Drosophila melanogaster: one gene and its partners. The protein of the gene in region 3 interacts with the protein of the main gene of each other region in a pairwise test. Each region holds a gene or a part of one and is shown on either strand. Other genes may lie near its edges. The genes, in order: CG14232, CG31140 and fwe.

Region 1 (3,752 bases), on a different chromosome or scaffold from region 3:
ACGAGGATCGTTTCTGGGTATGAAGAAGGACTCCAATTTGTTTTTGTTCCTCTTTTGACCCGACTTCTTCGCTGGCTGGGCCTTGTTCTCCTTGCTGACCTCAAGCTCCTGCTCCTGCTCCTGCTCTTGCTTCGGCTTTACTTCGGTTTCGTCTTCGCTGTCGGACGAGTCGTAGGAGAACGGATTGAGAGTGGCCAGTCCGAGCTTATTGGCAGACGTCTTGCCCACCAGGATCTTCTCATGGCCCAGCTTCTCCAACTGGTCCTGGCGCTTGGCCACCTCCTTCTCCGGTGCACTGCCGAACATGTCCAGCAGGCTGAAACCCTCTCCACGCGTGTTCAGCGAATCCCTCAACGTGTCGGTGACAATGTAAAAGGCCGTCTTCGAGACGGCTGAAGCTTGACTGTTGCCCGCGTCGGCGGTCTTGGCTTTCGTACTGGAAGTCTCCTCCTTCTTCTCCTCCTCCTCCTTGGGCTGCTTTTGGCGCATTAGCTTCTGATGGCCCTCCTTGGCCGGATCGAAGCGCAGCATCTTTTTGTTCTTTGGCGACTTACCGTCCTTATCGTTCGCACTGGTGATCGCGTGTCCCACAACCTGCTCCAGAATGTTCATGTGCCATTTGCGCTCACTCTCCTCCGGCTCAGGCTGATCCTCCAGCTCCGCCTCTTCCTCCTCGTTCACAAAGTTCGATGTGATGCGGAAGCGGGGATCTATACTCTGTTTGCTCTGCATCTCCACCAGACGCTCGCCCTTCTTGCCCTTATGCTGCGGCAGGACGATCTGCTCCTCTTCCTCATCGTCGTCGTTCTCGAACAGATCCCGCTTTTGTATCTTGGCTTTCTGGACGGGCTTGGACGCCTCCTCCTCCTCGGCGTCGCTGAATTTTATTCTCTTTGCCTGACTGCCTTCGACTGATATCACAGATAGCGCCTGCTGGATGGCTGACTTCTTTTGTTGGTGTCCCTGACGCATCTTGTTGAGCGACTCCTTGCGCTTCTGTTCCGCCTGGCTGACATTGGCGTCCGGCTTCTGTTTGGCTGCCTTGCGGTGCTGTTCGATGACATGGAGTGGCTTCACGTCGTGCTCCTGCTGGATGACAATCTGTGGGAAAGGAAAGGAAAGGAATTTAGCTGACAATGAGCTTGGGAACAATGAGTGCGTGCATACCCGGCCATTGTGCATGGAATTGGCGGCGCGCTTCTTGGTAATCAGCAGCTCTGGAGCGACCTCATCATCACCAATCTCCTCATCCTCTCCGAATACCCTGCGCTTGTTTTGGCCACTTTGCACCAGGAGCTGAGAGCTCGGCGCACGCACCTCGGACTCGTCTGGCTCGCCCTGTTCCCGGCGCTGGTTCTCTTCGCGTTCGCGCTTCAGTCGATCCAAAAACGATTCTTTGGCAAGAGAAACTCTTAGCTTTTCGCCGTGCAACTTCTGCCATTTGAGCTCGTTGACGCCTACAAAACCAAGCTATGGTTACTCCTTCCGTCTGGCTGTGATCTTCCGCGGATAACTTACAGTACTGGGCATCATCCGTCTGCACGGTGACGAAGGCAATCACCTTAGTGGCCCCATCCTGCTCCTTGCGCTTCAGATCCACGTGCTCTACGTGACCGTAGTCCTGGAACAGGATCTGCAGGTCCGACTCCGAGGTCCTGGTCGGCAGATCCGCCAGGAAGAACCGAGTGCTGCCCATATTATGTTTACGCTTGCAATGCACGTGTAGAATCCAAATCCCGGCAAGAATTGCTGTGGGCCAGTGTGACCGCGGGCAGATAAAAACTTACACTTAAATATAGCCACAATTCCAATTCCCAATTGCTTTATACAGGTTTTTAACAAGTCCAAGCAACACTAAACCAGCTTTCAAATTTATTTAGCAACTTTGTAAATAGGCAAATACATTAAGTTAGACAAAAATAATCCCCATCGGTCAGTGTTGCAAGGCGAGCAATACAATTACTTTAGGTGCGCAGCTGGCTGGTCACACTGGCAGCAGACGTCACAATAAATTCTATTATTTTGTTTTGTTTTGTGCGAAAAGTTTGCAGGCCAGCAATCGTGGACTAGCCCACAAACAACGGCAGCATGGCGAGCGGGACAAGCGGCACAAGCAGCAGTGAAACGGCCCAGTCGACGGACATGGCACCATCATCGGCCGAGAAGTGGGGCTTCCCTTTGATTGAGCTCTACCGCCTGGCATTCACGTTCTACAAGCGTAAGAGCAGAGATCCCGGCACTAGCGCACCAATAACGGCTAATCTCACATATTGCAGGGAACTCCGGCAAGGCCATCCACTTGTCGTACGAGGACAACCTCAAGCTGATCGCCTTCAAGCAGCAGGCGGCGCTGGGCCCCTTCAACACGAGTCGCGCCCCGGCGCTGGGCGTCCTGGACGTGATCGGACGCGACCGGCAGCAGCACTGGCAGCTGCTCGGTGAGATAACGCGCGAGCAGGCGATGGAGGGGTTCGTCGACCTGCTGGACACAATGTGCAGCGCCTTTCGGCCGTACATTGAGGCCGTGCGGCAGGACCGCGACGAGACGCTGCGCAAGGAGCTGCGCCTCATGGAGGAGAAGAAGGAGGCACGCGAGCGGCAGGAGAACGCCCAGCAGGAGCTGCTCGAGGAGGGTTACAAGGAGGAGCTGCAGCGCCGCCAGCTGCAGGACGCACTCAACAAGCAGACTTACCAGCAGTTTAAGGTAGCCCATCGATTTTTTCAACAACACACCGGCCCGGCCCTCTGCACCTGTTGTTGTGCTAAATAATGCATGATAATTACTGGGTGCTCGGCCTTGGCTGCGCTGTCTGCCATTGAAAAGGGGTCATGACCCAGTTCTCAGGCAATTGCATGCCAGCTCCTGTACCATTAACTTGGCCCTTCTAACGCTTACACTCGTTCCACAGCTGTACGCTGAGAAGCAGTTCCCCGGAAACCCCGAACAGCAGGCCGTGCTTATCCACCAGCTGCAGCGGGAGCACTATCACCAGTACATGCAACAGCTTCATCTGCAGAACCAGAACCAGAATCAGAATCAGAACACGGAGGACAAGGGACACCAGGAAGCAGAACACGTCCCTGGCAATAACAACAACAGCTCAACCGACTTGCCCAACGCCATGGAGGGACTGAAGCTCGGTGAGGTCGAGACACAGCAGCACCAGCAGCTGGCCGAGCAGCAAGACGGGCATGTAGAGCAGACGTTGGAGGGCGTTGGGCAGGAACAGCACGGCGAGGAAGAGTACGACGACTACGTTATGATCTGCCCGGCCAAGATCTGGACTCGTCCCGACATCGAGCAGTTTAAGACTGAGGTGTCCGCCGGCGATGGGGACGGCGTCATCACCATTGGACACGGCGACACGGTGACGGTAGGTGGCAATCAACTAATGACGAAACAAGGCCCATATTGACCGGCACAATTTTGCAGGTCCGTGTGCCCACCAACATGAACGGCAAGTGCATCTTCTGGGAGTTCGCCACGGACAGCTACGACATCGGCTTCGGCATCTACTTCGAGTGGGCCAAGCCCGTGACCAACGAGGTGACCGTGCATGTGAGCGACTCCGACGAGGACGAGGATTGCGTGGACGAGGACTACCTATCCACCACCGAGGACCTGGAGTCCGGCTCGCTGTCGCAGGAGCGCGGCGCAGTTAACAACCCGACTGCTGCCCCCAAGGCACCCATTTCCATTATCGTACCGATCTATCGACGGGAGTGCTACAACGAGGTCTACGTGGGCTCCC
Region 2 (3,752 bases), on a different chromosome or scaffold from region 3:
AGCAGCGTGAGGCTCCAAAAAGCAATAATACTATATAGTAACATCAGAGCATCTGGTATGCGGTTTTTCATACACTCTATCTCGTAAATTTCACGCACAGACACAATAGATTCAGAAAAGTTCATGCAAAACAAGCCAACCTCACGTAGTTCCACCTGGGGTTCCTGAACTGAATTAATATTCCTCTTCCTATCTACATTTTATAATCGAAAGATCATTCCAATCAATCACCAAATGGGCAATAACTAATTTAGTGGGGAAATATATGCAATACTATTCTTACAATAGAAACATGTAAGCTTTAATGTTGATTAAATGAGAACGATATATAATTGAAAATTGTAATAATAACCGAATAAAAAAATCTAGTTTATCTATATCTACAAGTATATATATATATATATATGTTTATGTATGTGTGTTGTACGTTTTAGCCAAATTTTCTGTGTTTTGTAACTGAGAAAAACAAGTTAAAATAAAAACCAAGTATTTTTGAAAAAAAAATCCTAATTGTACTCGTATGCTATATGAAAATGGTAAGACCTGGTGAACCTCAGTTTTCTTTTTAGTGTCTTTGTTAAACGTTTAGTTTTGATTGTTGTCTTTGCTGTTGTTGTGACTGACCAATTTGACTGCTCTAAACTCTTGACGCCCACATTGTTCCACCTCCACTGATCTGATCTCTGAGCTCCACTCCCTCTAAACTGTCTATCTACCTATATGTCTGGCTTAGCGCACCCGTTTGGTGTCCTTTCGTTTTTAGTTGCTACTATATACCACCCTTTTTCATAGTCTTTTTCATAGTTAGCCCCCAGTATCGATACTTTTATTTGGTTTCCTTTTACCCCAAGCGCTGTAAAGTATAGTAACATGTAACTGAAGCTAAGCATTCTCCCTTTCCAGGATGAGACCCCGCAGAGTTTCTTCGACGATCACGGCCTGGGCTAAGTTGGCTCTATGCAAAAGTAACGCCAGAAAGGCATTATCTATATTGAACCCATTTAAAGTCGCCTTAATTGTATGTGTATTTAACGTAACCCAAAAGTATACCGGTTCTATTGTAATTTAACCACCCTGTGTCAGCATAAAAAACATTGTGTATAGAAGTGCTGTTAAACCTATTCCTAATTTCGCTTGGCAAATGCAATTTGCAATACATTTAATTTCACAAAAAAGCATCAATATCGGTTGCTCACACACGTTCATATTTGTAAAGATTAACTTAATGATAAGCAAAGTAAAGCGATGCGATTAATCGACGGTGTGCTCAACTCTATAGTTGTAAGTTAAAAGCCCTATAAATATATAAAAATTGCTGTATCCAAAGTAACCAATCAAAACTCTGTTTACTTTATGCATTCTTTGCTGCAAATAAAGATGGTATCGAGCGTGAGAGTTTTTATATTTCAGTACTACTCTTTTCTGTTGGGACAATAGTACGTCATGGTTATGACGCGGAATAAGCACAAGAAAGTAGGCAATGGTTTTTGAAAAGTTCGTTTTTATGAGATTTTACTAACTTAAATTATAAAATATAAGAAAATGCATTTTCTTACTGATTTTAATATTGAATGTAAAACTCATTTTTTTCAAAAAACCTACATTTCTAACCTTCAATTAAGCCTTAATTTAAAATAATGGTCGTTCTTTGGGCCAATTTCCTCTCTTAGCTTGGCCACATTTATTTTGGGGCCAAGTTGGCAGCTCGCCGACCAACAAATTGTTGATTTCATTTTTATTTGGGGAGGGGGGGTCGCCAGAGAGCATCCTGACTGCGAACGAGAGAGATAGAGAGCGACCTGGCTCTCTCCCTAACGGGAGCTCCCCAACATTTCCCCCTGTTTGTTGTTGGGCACGCACGCACACAGGAATTCGGCGAACTCAACACACTCAGCGTCGAGCGAGAGGGCGCGATTGGCCCCACGGCGTGTGCGAGCGGGACGCAGCGAGAGCGCCAGGCGGAGCAGCGGCGAAGGCAGCGATAAAGGCGCTGCGCCGCGAGAAAGTTGCAGACCCGTCCGCAGAGCGCACCATCGTCTTCAGCGGAGCACACACAGCAGCTAGGTGTGCTCTTCCGTACGTAACGGTTGCGGATTTTCACTGGATTTCCATTTTCACACAGCCAGCACACAGGAAAATTCTCACACACTCGCAGCGAAAAAGTGCATAAAACGCGTGGAAAACTCGGGGGAAATCGCGATGAAAACTTGCGAAAAACTCGCTTTAACTCGATTGCTGTGCGTGTGAAAATTTTCCATCCGGTGAAGGAAAAAAAATTCGAAAGTGCGGCTAGAAAAGAAAAACGAAGGAAAAAGCAGCAGCGCCAGCAGCAGCAGTAGCAGGCAGCATTAGTGGCAGTGTGAAAATCGAATGTGCAAAATTTTGCAGCTTCAAAAATGTATGGTACATAAAATTTCTCTCTCCAAAATCGCGAGTGTGTGTGTGCGCGTGAAAATTACGTTGTCATATGTGCCAAGTACCAAGAGTTTTCCAGGCCCCACTTTCCCATCCGAAGCCAAAGTTTTAACAAATTAACTCCTTCGTGTGATTAGCAATGAAAATGGAAAAAGACAAGGCCACACGCACTCCGTCCAGATACATATATATTCGCATATATATACCAATCAGACATATATATATATACATACATATAGATGTGGTGGCAAGGAATCAAGCCGCGCCAGCAAAAGAAAGAAAGAAAAAAATTCTCTATCTATTGCGATTTGCTCATGCGGCCCGAAAAGAGCGAAGCGCGCAGCATTGGGTGGGAAAAGTGGGTGGCAAGTCCAGAGGGGGAAAGGGGTGGGGGCGTCAGTGGGCTGGGTGGGCGCCACTACGGGTACGAAGTACGGCTGCTTTGTCTACAGTTGTAGAGTGTGTGTGTATACACAGCCTCTGAAATCTATATATCTCGCTTTTTTGGGCCCCCCATTAGCATCCATAATTTTCCGTTTTTTCTGCTTCTGCGCCTCTCCCAGCCCAAAACAAAACAATAATTTCCCTAAGAAAAGCAAAGCCGCAAAGTTTTCATCACCCAACCCCCAAATTGCCGCCCGTTCAACGCATTTGTTGCAAAAATATTGCTCGTTGTGATTTATCCTTAAACTTGGCCACTTTCTTTGAAACGCTCCGTCGTGGTGGAGTTGAGTTCGCGCGAGCGAGTGTGGTGGGTTCCGGAGTGCGCATGTCGCCAGGACATCGCCTGGTGGCCAGGATATATGGACACGGGAAACGGGTCCTGGACATTCCACGTCGTCAGGCTGGCTCCAAACTCACAGTTGCGGTGCAAATAATAGTACCGTCAAGTCCAAGTTCACAACTCATTTCTCAAGTTCGCAGTACTTCTACTTCAAGGGTTAACAACTTTTTTTTATAGAAAGTAACTGCGTATGTGGATTCCAGTTTTATAGATATTCCTTGATTCCATCTATAATCTGCTTTAAGTCATCATAACTACTATAATTTCGTGTAGGTGCTTTTCTGCGCACACAAACGATGCGTTAATATCAATATTCGATAGGATCGAATATCGAACTAAAATTTGAGGGTTTTAAACAATAGGAAACTCATATCTTGTTGTCACAATAGATAGTTATAGAATTATGAGCTTAGGACATAATTCGATGTAAAATCAATGCTAAAAACATGTCATATACACTAAATAAGGACCAAGATCCTTGTGCTTGAGGGCCATTATGCCGACCTTAACTTTGCGTATACACACAATGCGGATTTGTGCGCCTTCCGTTAGC
Region 3 (3,752 bases):
TTTTTTCACAATTGTAAAGAATACAACGCGGGGGTAAATTTCTTAATAACAAAAAAGTTATACTAAAATTGGCTATCTAAGAATTAATAATATACACACAGTAGTGGAAATATTAATTTATACAATTTAATCAGTTTTCAAGATTACCATTATTTGCTAGCCTAGTTGGTAACTAAGGTCTTGAATTGTCCGAAAGATTGATGTATTTTCCCTTCTGCAGGGAAATTTTCTTGGGCAGGCTGATGAACTCTCCTCCGTTGGTACATTTCGTCGGGGATTCCGGGAAATCTGCCTTAGCGTAAAAGCTTTTCTTGCGGTATGGCAACTTTCGGCGATCGGGTTCAACCCGTTTCATGGGGTCCAGCGTCATAAACTTGCCCTCCAGAAGACGTCGTTCCTGTTGGGTAGACGGCACTTTGCTTTTGAATCCAGAAAAGAGGCCGTGGGAACTCATGTGCGACATTAAGCGCGCCCACACTCGATAACTTGAGGTGCAGTCCTTATATGGGCACTCATAAAATCGCTGCTGCGTGAATTTGACTTTATGGCTCCTCGTGTGCCTCCTGTAGGATCCTTGGTTAGCGAAGGACATGTTGCACTCCACGCAGATGAAATCGGATACATTGTGAACGCTGTTCTCGTGGCGGATAACGTCGAAATAGCGTGGGAATATCTGGTTGCATCTGAGGCACAGAAATTCCAAATCCTTTGCGCCGCACATGGTCTTGTTGTGTTTCATCGTCTTCATGTGCTCATGTAGTTCGTGTAGTTTGTGGAACTCTGAACCACAATCGCGGCAATAGTAGACCGGATTCGGGCGGGGTTTACAAGAATGCATGCGTATGTGGGTCAGGATTTCGAGCACATGGCCGCAACAGGTGCACAGCATCCGAGTGGCTTGGGTCTTGTCCTTGAAGAACTTGGTGACTGCCAAGCCATCGCGTGACAATCCCACGCTGAAGAAATCCACGGACGCGGTTTTCAAAGATTCTTCGACTACGATCTCCATATGCTCGTTTTTTTCCAATGGATCTTCCTTCACTGGCTCCGCGATATGCTGATCGAAAGAATTCTCCTCATCATTCTTTTCCGTTTCTACCTCTTCTTTGTTTGATGTCACCTCCAACTTGATCTGAAATGCAGTGGAGTCGTCTATTTCGATGGGCCTCCGGTGAAACTCGTCCTGGGCCGTGCCCCACTTCTCCAGGGATTCGCTTATGCGCAAAGTCTCTCCAAAGCAGGGCTCGCAAATGCAGTAATTTTCCCCCAGGATAGCAGCCTAAAATACGTGGGTTTCTTTGCATTTGACATCCATTGGACTCACTTTCAGAACTTACATCAATTTTGTACCAATCGAAAAGTCTTTGCAGCAGTTTATTGGCCGATTTGAATTTGGGCTTCTCGAGATCGATCTCAATTGCTCGGTTATCCTTGCATAGTTTGCAAATTTCCGCTTCTGTCATTTTGCTGATATTTTCGAGGAGGTCCAAAAACCAAGTTAATAAAAGGCAAGTAATCAATGATTTCTTCGATGTCTGCTAATCGATACTATCGATAGATGTTTAATTTATCGATACAATGCAGAGCTGCTTAATGTCGATAGGCAATTGAATTAATCGATTTTTAATTTACGGACTTAGAAATTTATGCAAATCTAAAAATAAATTAATTTTGATTGATTTGAATAGAGATAGTTGTTCAGATTTAGGAGTTAGGTGAACGATCTGAGATCGAAGTGAATTTTCTAAAGATGCCGCCTGCATATTGAACGGTATAAAAGCTTTCAATGTACACAAATTTGCCTAACATTTGCTAAGAGAACCGGAAAATATTGTTTAATATCATAATCGAACAAAAACCAATTTACAAGTTTAGACTGTAGTTTTTTCATTACCTAAAAAAGTATTTGTGTAATTATTTGAATGTTCGAAACCCAAAACAAGAAAATACAAATAATTATGAAAAAAGTAAGAAGTTGACTAATTGCAATATAAATTTAAAAATTAAAAAATGTTGTAGTGAATCCAGGATACCAGGAAACTAGTTCCATTCGCCTCCGATAACTTCCGAGTATCGATAGGCTCTATCGGCCATCAGAATCGCGATCTAGTTCGGTTCGCGTGCAGCAGAACGCAAAGTACAACAGGATTTTTTTCGTTCCGTGTGACGTGAAAAGTGCAAATAGTAATTGTTCGAATTAGTTTAAGCCTAGCTAACTAACTAAATAAATAGCCATGGTAGGTAGTTGTTGATTGACTGAGATAAAATGCTGACGCAGTGAGCGGTGTCAGTGTGTATGCATGTGAGCCGCGCGTTAACTGGTGTGTGTGTTTTTGTCGTGGCAATGTGTGCGTGTTAAAAAAAGCGGCCGCCGCGTCACAATACAAAATTGTGCTTCGATTTTTCCTAATTGCATTTCGATTTCTCCCTATTTCCGTCTATTTCCCGGATCAGTCGTTTGCGGAAAAGATAACGGGTCTGCTGGCACGGCCGAATCAACAAGATCCAATTGGACCGGAGCAGCCGTGGTATCTCAAATATGGAAGTCGATTGCTGGGCATTGTGGCCGCCTTCTGTAAGTTGTAGGATATATAATAAATTATCTACTAGCTTAACACATTAAAAAGTTGGGAAAAACATCCGTGACATTGGGCGGCCCAAAAATATGTTGCATCGATTTTTGTGTACCACCCTTTGTTGTTGTTGCTGTTATCTATTCGTAGGTGTAGGTGTGCAGTTGTGTTCGTGTGTGTACGCACGCTCTCTGACATTGATAAAGGAAAAACAAGAGAGGGTGAGTGAGAGGTGAGAGGCAGTGAGAGCGGAGAAAGGAAACATGGAAAAGACAACACAAAAAGGATACACAAATTCACACACTGAAAAAAATACTAGTTATGTATGTAGCTAAAGTTTATTTTTACATCAAAATCAAAGAAATGTAGGGTAAAGTGTGAGATTTCCAAATGAATTAAGAATGAAACGTATAATTTTAAGGTAAAACAAAGTCCAAAAAAGGTTTTTTTTTGTTTTGTTATTGAAATATAAAATAATACATTCACCCACTTAACTAAGTGGGCTTCCTGCACTTAATATCTCTTATCTAACCATTTCGTTTGATAACTTTTTATTTCGTGTGTAGGAAATTGCAAGTATGTATAGGAGCTTTTCTGTGTCAAGTTTGGCGCTCTGCTTTTTCTTTCCGCATCGAATGTAATTCTCTGTGCCCATTCAATCGAAATTCGCACTGCCTTTTGTTGTATCAGCAGCTTCCCTCTTTCCATCTCTATTTTTAACTTTGTTTTACCCGTTTGCGTATTTGCTTTTTTATCTGGACTCAGTTAACCTTAACCCTTAGGCTGCCACACGTGTTATAAGTGCAATATCGTAATAAGTCTATGCGTATCTTAAATTCAATTGGGGCATCTTTTTTGTAATTTCATCATCACCTTCTGAATGCATAAAAAAATGCAGTTCAATAAACTTTTAAGTAGTCGTGATCTACTTTGATTAAGTCCAAGTCAATCTTTTTAATCGCAGTTGGGGTTTTGATTATGCTATTGGGTTTCGTGTCGTTAGAATACTTACAAAAATTATTTTAAAAATCAATCTAAACCATACATATGTATATAAATGAAAATTCCACAGAAACAATATGCCTCATTGACATATTATTCCTGGAATTTTTAGAGATCAACCAAAGGAATATTTATTTATTCAAAACGTTTTTAACATCTTTTTTTTCTCTGTACAAA

The links.
Region 1: the proteins of fwe (region 3) and CG14232 interact in a two-hybrid assay, tested with the Drosophila melanogaster proteins (one large-scale study listed by BioGRID).
Region 2: the proteins of fwe (region 3) and CG31140 interact in a two-hybrid assay, tested with the Drosophila melanogaster proteins (one large-scale study listed by BioGRID).

What each region holds. Positions count from the first base shown.
Region 1 is NC_004354.4:19,702,355-19,706,106, reverse strand, and holds the start of CG14232 (uncharacterized protein), read left to right. Parts: upstream 1-1,847; 5' UTR 1,848-1,968; exon of another isoform or gene 1,969-2,044; 5' UTR 2,045-2,088; coding exon 2,089-2,218; intron 2,219-2,276; coding exon 2,277-2,704; intron 2,705-2,909; coding exon 2,910-3,374; intron 3,375-3,433; coding exon 3,434-3,752. Other genes in the region: CG14230 (uncharacterized protein), read right to left, coding at 1-1,101, 1,168-1,457, 1,519-1,696.
Region 2 is NT_033777.3:23,961,148-23,964,899, forward strand, and holds the start of CG31140 (uncharacterized protein), read left to right. Parts: upstream 1-2,032; 5' UTR 2,033-2,076; exon of another isoform or gene 2,077-2,086; intron 2,087-3,752.
Region 3 is NT_037436.4:15,814,759-15,818,510, reverse strand, and holds the start of fwe (flower), read left to right. Parts: upstream 1-2,100; 5' UTR 2,101-2,234; coding exon 2,235-2,237; intron 2,238-2,454; coding exon 2,455-2,575; intron 2,576-3,752. Other genes in the region: CkIIalpha-i1 (CKII-alpha subunit interactor-1), read right to left, coding at 173-1,279, 1,338-1,463. UniProt on the Drosophila melanogaster protein: Transmembrane protein which mediates synaptic endocytosis, fitness-based cell culling, neuronal culling, morphogen gradient scaling, and calcium transport. Regulates synaptic endocytosis and hence couples exo- with endocytosis.